Xenopus tropicalis: one gene and its partner. The protein of the gene in region 1 binds, or shares a complex with, the protein of each later gene. Links are inferred from orthologs where the notes say so. Each region holds a gene or a part of one and is shown on either strand. Other genes may lie near its edges.

The links.
Region 2: sarnp (region 1) and thoc7 share a complex: the UniProt entries of both Homo sapiens proteins name them as parts of the transcription/export (TREX) complex. The link is inferred for Xenopus tropicalis from reciprocal best matches to the Homo sapiens genes SARNP and THOC7.

What each region holds. Positions count from the first base shown.
Region 1 is NC_030678.2:138,209,838-138,214,187, forward strand, and holds the start of sarnp (SAP domain-containing ribonucleoprotein), read right to left. Parts: upstream 2,848-4,350; 5' UTR 2,563-2,847; coding exon 2,530-2,562; intron 532-2,529; coding exon 432-531; coding exon of another isoform or gene 408-431; intron 1-407. UniProt on the Homo sapiens protein: Binds both single-stranded and double-stranded DNA with higher affinity for the single-stranded form. Specifically binds to scaffold/matrix attachment region DNA. Also binds single-stranded RNA. Enhances RNA unwinding activity of DDX39A.
Region 2 is NC_030680.2:145,033,353-145,037,790, reverse strand, and holds the start of thoc7 (THO complex subunit 7 homolog), read right to left. Parts: upstream 3,087-4,438; 5' UTR 3,048-3,086; coding exon 3,029-3,047; exon of another isoform or gene 2,870-3,028; intron 1,210-2,869; coding exon 1,092-1,209; intron 1-1,091. Other genes in the region: atxn7 (ataxin-7), read left to right, coding at 3,087-3,246. UniProt on the Homo sapiens protein: Component of the THO subcomplex of the TREX complex which is thought to couple mRNA transcription, processing and nuclear export, and which specifically associates with spliced mRNA and not with unspliced pre-mRNA.

The DNA of each region.
Region 1 (4,350 bases):
ATATAGTTTGTGACACTATTGAAGCAATCTATGTAAATAAATATGATAATTATGGTTCACTTATACTTTCTTAGCTTCAATTTTTAATTGCATATATATATCTGGATATTCCTGTTGGAAGCCAGTCCCTGGCTTCTGCAAAAGGTGTAAACTATATGTGTAGACTTCACATTTCTCTGCAGAGGTATTGCATAATACTCCTGAACTACAAACAAAGCATTCCGTCTAATTTAAATCATGAATAACAGTTTAGTTTAGAGACATAATCTTATGTCCCTGAAGCATGGTTAGATGAAAATTACAGAGGAGGAAAAAGATAGGCCCCACAGAGTTTGTTAGTGTGCTTATGCCATATAAATGCCATTAAAAACAAACATATTTAAAAAAAAACAAAAAAAAAAACAAACAATTTAACAGAAGTTCTTCCGAACCATGTTCCTCTATATAGGCTTGCAGACGGCTGATAAGATCGCTCTTGTTCCCCTTCACCTCTAAGCCACGAGCAAGGCACTCCTGCTTTAGTTCAGCCAACTAAAAAAAAAAAAAAAAAAAAAAAAAAAAAAAAAAAGGGAAAGAAATTATTGCATAAACTAACTTTCCAGGAACAATTATACTTGTGCCAAGAATTCAATATGTTGTTGCAAGAAATAAAATTGGTGAAATTCTCATTAGTAGAGAGAACGACTCCAGAGTGCTTCTGGATTACAGTATGTACAATCTAAGAAAGGGTTGTAATACATTTTTCCCTAATATTCTGAGAATACATTCTGAAAGTACTTTAAAGTGTGAGTAAAACAAAACTAGGGCTCACTAACATAAGTGCTAAATTTTACAAGCAACCAATCAACATTAGTTTTGACCAGTCTACTACTACTAGTGAAATAATGAAAGCAAAACCCTGATTGGTTGCTATGGGCAACTGTTCTGTAGCAATTTAGTGCCTCTCTTAGTGAAGTACATAGGAGGCATGTATGAGGGCGATAGGTCCTCTGTTACCTCACCATAACTGCAAATAAAGCTGGCCTTGTTTCGAATACAACCATGCAAAATACAATATTATAGTCATATGAAGTTACAAGCATAAGCGCAAGTAATTTCTTGCGCACTCTGTCTTAGCTATTTTTGTAAATTCAGATACAATAATCTGTAAAGTGTTAGTAGGTATTTATGCCGTTTAATTTATAATAACTGTACCCCTGTTTAGGTTTCCCCCTTAAAAAGCACTGTATATTTGTGGTGCTACTTAAATAAATCCCAGATAAATCTTGCATCACCACTAAAAAGCTGGATTTATAGGCATGATTCCAGAACTGTTGACAGTGTTTGCCCGTAATCCTATGGTAGATAATCATTTCAGTCATTTCTTGGGCCACTTTAGCAGTTTTAAAGTTAGTTGTTTTAGCCTTAACAAGATTAGTTTAGTTTAAAGGGTTCTTCCACTTAAACACTTTCTGCGCAATAAAGCAACTTTCCAATATACATGAACTTAAATTATTTTAATAATGTCAGGAATCCAAGCCAGGATTGCAGAAAATGTAATCAGATTTGTATTGTTAGTGCTGCTCAATCAGCATTTTTTCTTTAGGTTGAGAAAAGTGGATCTGCTCTCTTATGCAACTCCTTGTATCTGCACCGAAAAGTACAAATTTCTGCCTGCTTTCCCATTTTTCAGGTCAACCTCCACTCCGCTCCATATACCTGCACTTATTCCTATGGTGTGAACTCTTCATCTACTTCGGCTTCCTCTGTCTTCTCTTGGTTCTGGTCCAGGCAGGTGCATGTGCAGAACTTATACACAAAAAGACTGTTTTCCCACTCAACTGCACATGTACCTGCCTAGGCCCGAGAAAAGAAGACAGAAGATTATTGTGGCAAATATGATCCTACCCTGGGCTGGCGCAGTTTCTAGTTAACAGGAACAACGGGCCGGGGTGCCTAACAGTTTTGCACCCCCAGCAATTATAAATTAAGTTCTCCTCTAATGATAAAGAAACTCAATAACACTTGACACATGTAGAGAATCGGTGAATATCCTGAGGGAAAAAAGTTCTGTTGAAACACACAGATGTACCCATTGGTTTGAATTGATCTCACAAAGTTACAATTATTTCTGTAATTCACAAAATACAATTATTTTTGTTTTAAAATTCCAGAAAACAAACTAGAATGGGCACATTTCCTAAAAAAACCCAAAGAATCTAGCTGGGTGAGCTGGGTGGGCTGGGTTACAAACGAGAAATAAATCAGAGCAATTAGCAGCATCTAGCACTGCCATGGAATCACTAGGCCACAAATAAGTTGACAGGATTCTATTACAGGGATTTTATATCAATAGATTCATTTAACCCAATGCTGAAGTCCAACTACCAGCACTGCCTGCGGAAAGCCATTACAAACACTGGATGTAGACAGAACCTATACGGATAGAAGAACCCTGCGCTATTCATATAAAAGGTGCAGTGCCACAAAACGATTTCCAGTTATAACACGAGGCCCCGATAGAAAGAACCCACTCCCTGCGTGGAATACCTTCAGCTTGTGAAGCTCCACAGTTTCCGCCATCTTTCAATCGCCAACTTGCCTTGCGCAGCACAACTCAGGTGCGACACGCGGATTGGTTCGTCGCCCAGTTGACGTCAGTGGAAAAATACGCGCGGCAATTTGGATCGACAGAGGTGGAAGTAACCAACAAATTTCTATTTATCAACTTCCTGTGAGCTCTCTGCCGCCTTCCAGAAAGCAGAACCTCGTCCTTCCAAAAGAAATTAAACAATACAGCCCTATAAGTGAGAGGAGAGACCTTTGGCCTTTACGGGGTCAAGCCGCCACTGCAGAGGTTGGGTCAGTTTGGACCAATCCGCTTTAGAGCTGTGAACAATCTTTCAGCCAATCACCGGGTCTATTTATGCAGCAGACTGAGTGACGCTTTGGGTAACTACTGCCATGTTATTGGAGGTCGGAAGTCAGGAGAAAGCTCACTTCCGTATATCTGCCATCTTAGTTGGGGATAGGAGATAGAAACGCAACTTGAGCACCACCCTCTTACAGCTTCCTCCCGGAAGTGCTTTGTGTTTCCTGGCTACCGGTGACAGGCGGTGGTCTAACTACAGGTGAGAGGGTTAAGCATTATTTATTATTATGCAGGGTGGTTATACTGTGTTGTGTAAAGGCGGTGCTTGACCGGTGGCAGTTCAGAAGCTAGAGGGGTGTATGCTGAACGTGCCTGTCTGTGCGTGACGGCGATCATGGATTTTTGACACCTTATTTTACGTTGCCATTGAGATAAAAGAGGAATTAGGTTTTTTTTTTTAAAAAATAAATCCTTAATTGGGTTATTATCTCTCTCATGACATGGGGTTACTTGCCATCTATGGCACCTGATGGGTAATAAAATACTGCGTTCAAAACATGTTTGGTTGTACCATCACATGCCTTTGTGCGGCTTCTCACAGACTCTTCTGCTTCTTTAAACAAACTATATTGTATGCATAGAAACTGCATGCATCAAGCCCATTCCCCAGCACCACATACACTCAAGAATTCCCGGTGGCGTCCCATAATAAGGGTCTGTAGTTCTTATTGAGCGTCTCATCCAGCCTTGCACTATTAGCTCCACTGAATTATGTAAACATCTGAGAGATTCATTAGCAGTAATTGTTTCCCTGCTTTCATTTCAATGGACAACAATAATGTATGGTTATAGACAAGGACATTTAAGAGTGTATTTGATACCTTTTTATTAACACACTGTCATTAGATCACAAAAAAGTTCATGGAATAACTTTAACAGTTTACTATGGGTAAAAATATTTTTTTAGTTCCAGTGTTGCTCTGTGTGCTGCTTGGTTCGTGGGTTAAATAATTAATACTAATTCAAAAAGAAGGATCCTCAACAGCCAGTCAAAAAGAGCCAAAGTAGATAGGACACAGCCCCCAGATTTAAAGAACAAGCCAAACAGCAGAATCCATACGGATCCCAAACTTCACACAAAAATTAAAAGAAAAAAATTTGCATTTTTATTTAAACATCCATATTAAAAACATAAGATACCCTGGCTTTTTAAAGGGTTGGTATGATAATCCAGCCTGCTCCCATCTGAATTTTATTAAACAATAGGGTTTATTTTAGATTGCATGGCACAGTGCTGTGTGCAAAAAAAAACTTGTGTCAAGTGCTCATTTGGCAGTTGAGTCTGGGTTGCTGCAAGTGCCTGGGCACACAAATCAGCTCTTGAATTAAGTGTTGCTGACATCTTTCCTTAAAGGGACACTGTTATGATTTTTATGGTATACTTTTTATTTCTAAATTACACTGTTTACATAGCAAATAATTCACTCTACCATTTAAAA
Region 2 (4,438 bases), on another chromosome or scaffold:
ATCCTAGTCAAGTACCTTGGGTGCACTTTCAAAAGAAGATGCACAACAGCCAGGGAAAAATGTTACATTTTAGTTAACTGGGAGGTGCCTAACAAACCTGAATCCCCATTAAGGTTTCCCTGTACATGCAAATTATTTGAACAGTATATCTAATTGCTATTGGAAGTAATTTCTGTCCTTTTCCCAACTACAAATATTATTAAAACAGTGTAGCAGTATTCAGCTGTCCTCTCCAATTCCCACAATCCCTTGTATGTTACGTGATTAACAGACCTGTCACTTGCATGCTGTTAACTGGCCCATAGCATACAATCTCATTTCACAATGATGCCATCAGATGTGGCCTATGGAGCTCTTGACCATGTAGCAGGTCATATTTAACCCACGGGCTTTCAGTTGAATAGTCCAGACCTTTATGTTTACCTGAAGCAAAAAAAGACAAATACAACCCTACCCTTTTCTGGCTGCCCAGCAAGACTCACTTTAGTGCTTTCCTAGGGGACATTAGAACTGTTTTCGTCCTTCCTTGTCACCAAGAGATGTAATTAGTTAAACTTGGCAACCCATCTGCAATCCACTGAGCTACCTCATTGCGCTGGGAAGTGGCAAAGTGACAGCAGCCTTTCCACTTATCATACCTTTCAGTAGAGTTTTAGTATGGCTTTAGTGGTCCCATAAACATTCAGTTTCATATATACATCTGGTTTCCAACTTAGCAGTTATCTTATAAACACATTTGCAACCCAGTTGACACTGAAGTAAAATTAAAAAAAACCAATAGCAATCTTTGGTAAGCATGGGGTTCAAAATCTCCTTTCAGAGTAACCTGGATTCTGCCCTTCCTGTTGGACTGTTTCAGCACAGATTACTCAGCAATGATGGCCTTACATTTATACATATTTTCTGCTGCTTTCTCTTCCAGAGGGAAAATGAATTTTCCATAATTATGAAATCTCCACAAAGAATTTTACCAAGCAATAATTTTGGAATCATACTTTTCCCAGACATGATTAGAAACTGGTTGAAGCTTCAGTTCTGCTAATAAAAATAACATTGTGGAACTACTGCCACAGTCACTTGGTGCCTCTTACCCTTCTTCTTGGGAACCCGAGTTGCACCATTTCAGAAAACTCTTTACCAATAAGTTAATTCTTCGGTCGTCTCCGGCACCATCTCCATCAATCAAAAGTCTTTTGCGGATAACTTCATCTGGAAAAGAACAGAAGGAAATGGAAATAGTGGATTTTATTGCTGCTGCACAAAGACAGGTCACTGTGTAAGAGAAGGTTACCATCAAGCAGTTATACAGTAACAGAACAGGATAGATTTGGATACCCTGCCTAGCATCTCCAAGAATTCTAGATCCACAGAGAGAGACATCCCAGGTGGCAGTATATGTGCGCCATACTGGTGCCAAGTACCAAGTTACCTGGACTTAATTCAAAGGAATTGTCAAAGTAATTTTGCTTAGAAACATTGCATCTGCAAAAATCAAACATATCTAAATTTCATGAATAAGTGTGGATATGTGGTTTGGCCAGCCTGTGAAATCTAATGGAGGACTCTTGCAGATGGAAAGCTGATCACCATTTAGTTAAGGAGGCAAAGGTAAACCTAACAACAGAGATAGCAGACCAAGAGGGTGCAGGGTACCCAACAGGTATATTTAATAGACTTAACCCCATACTATCAGGGAGATAATGATATTTCCCATGAGTGGCCTGGAAAAACAATATTCCATATTACCATTTCTTGTAAAGTGGAACGTGGTCTTAAAAATGCCTGACAGTATCACTGATCTCCCTTATAAGACTGACATCTTATAAAAAGAACTGTGTGGTGTTCAGTCTGACATAAAATTTCAGAATCTTGAGGGCTATAAACCATGGCTGAAAGGCTGACTAAACTGATCATAACATGAGCTCTAAATGAAATTAAAAAGACTTGTGAGGGTGCTGATCATTATATAGAAATACACAGATTCACATATTATTATGATTATCTGGCCAAACAAACTACCTTGGGCAATGGTCACTGGTTTTTGATACAAAATGATACATGGTCATATCATATATCCTGTGCCAATATATAGCAGTCTATCTGCAATTTATGCAAGGCAACAATAGAAAATAATCCCACCTGAGTGCCCTGTGTGTAGCTGCCAGCAAATGAGACCCCCATTTTAAGTCACCAGTAACAGTGAAAAGTGAGTAGGTGAAATCTCTGTATACATACATTAAAGTATCCATAGGATTTATTGACAGCAGCACATGTATATTATATTGTGATATAGACAGCTTATCTGATTAGATTACTACATTTATCATATTTATAAGATAGAGACAGAGTAAAGGTACATAAATATAATTCATACAAAATAATAGTGGCTGTAAATTGTCCCTAGCACCTTGGGCAATGGTGACTGGTTTATTGATACAAAATAATATAAAATATATAGCAGTCTGTCTACAATTTATGCCAGGCAACTTTATAAAAACCCTACTTGAGTGCCCTGTGTGTGTAGCTAACAGTCAATGAGACCCATTAAGTCACCAGTAACAGTGAAAAAGTGAGTAGGTGAAATCTCTGTATACATAAAAGTATCCATAGGATATATACACAGCGGTACATGTACATTAGGATATAGACAGATTATCTGATTAGATTACTATATATATATATCATACCCATAAGATAGAGACAGAGTACATCCATTCATACAGAATAACAGTGGCGGTATAAATATATATTGTCCCTAGGATAGATACAGCAGCGATATATATACTATCCATATGAGACTAAGTAGCACTACATAAATATATATATAATATTATCCATATAAGATACGCTGAGCGGGGAGTAGGGCCGGAAGTCCGTACCGCTCTCCTTCCCCCAGAGCCCTAACTCGAGCCCGGGGCTTTGCGGCCTAGCCGGCCGGTGTGGGTTTCCCGCGGTCGGTACCCGGGCAGGCAGAGCTGAGGCCGAGCCGGAGGGTGTAGGCGGTGGGGTAGGAGGGCGCTGTACTTACCGTCGGTGACGGCTCCCATGGCGGTGGCGGCGAGTAGCAGTGAGGTCAGACTCCCAGAATGCAGCAGCGGCGGCAGCAGCCGGAGAGACAGGCAGGAGCATGGAGGCCTCGGTCACCGCCTCGCCTTCCCTATAAGCTCCCCCCAGTGTCGGGCGGCCCAGCGCCTCCTGCCCACAGCCGGACACACAGCCCCAGGCAGGCCTCCCCGGGCCCCGCAGGTAAGTGCCACTCAGCTGGGAGTCACAGCCCCATTCCCTTTCCTCATTCCTGACATGATTATTGCCCCGAGTATTTATATTTCTACATAACTGCACTGCAATCCGTGCTGCCCTGGGACCTGCTGCCATTATACCAGTACTGGCACTCCATTACTAGCTCTAGTACTCCCCATTACTTACACTAGCACTAGTACTCCCCATTACTTACACTAGCACTAGTACTCCCCATTACTTACACTAGCACTAGTACTCCCCATTACTTACACTAGCACTAGTACTCCCCATTACTTACACTAGCACTAGTACTCCCCATTACTTACACTAGCACTAGTACTCCCCATTACTTACACTAGCACTAGTACTCCCCATTACTTACACTAGCACTAGTACTCCCCATTACTTAGACTAGCACTAGTACTCCCCATTACTTACACTAGCACTAGTACTCCCCATTACTTACACTAGCACTAGTACTCCCCATTACTTAGACTAGCACTAGTACTCCCCATTACTTACACTAGCACTAGTACTCCCCATTACTTACACTAGCACTAGTACTCCCCATTACTTACACTAGCACTAGTACTCCCCATTACTTAGACTAGCACTAGTACTCCCCATTACTTACACTAGCACTAGTACTCCCCATTACTTAGACTAGCACTAGTACTCCCCATTACTTACACTAGCACTAGTACTCCCCATTACTTACACTAGCACTAGTACTCCCCATTACTTACACTAGCACTAGTACTCCCCATTACTTAGACTAGCACTAGTACTCCCCATTACTTACACTAGCACTAGTACTCCCCATTACTTACACTAGCACTAGTACTCCCCATTACTTAGACTAGCACTAGTACTCCCCATTACTTACACTAGCACTAGTACTCCCCATTACTTACACTAGCACTAGTACTCCCCATTACTTACACTAGCACTAGTACTCCCCATTACTTACACTAGCACTAGTACTCCCCATTACTTACACTAGCACTAGTACTCCCCATTACTTACACTAGCACTAGTACTCCCCATTACTTACACTAGCACTAGTACTCCCCATTACTTACACTAGCACTAGTACTCCCCATTACTTACACTAGCACTAGTACTCCCCAATACTTACACTAGCACTAGTACTCCCCATTACTTAGACTAGCACTAGTACTCCCCATTACTTACACTA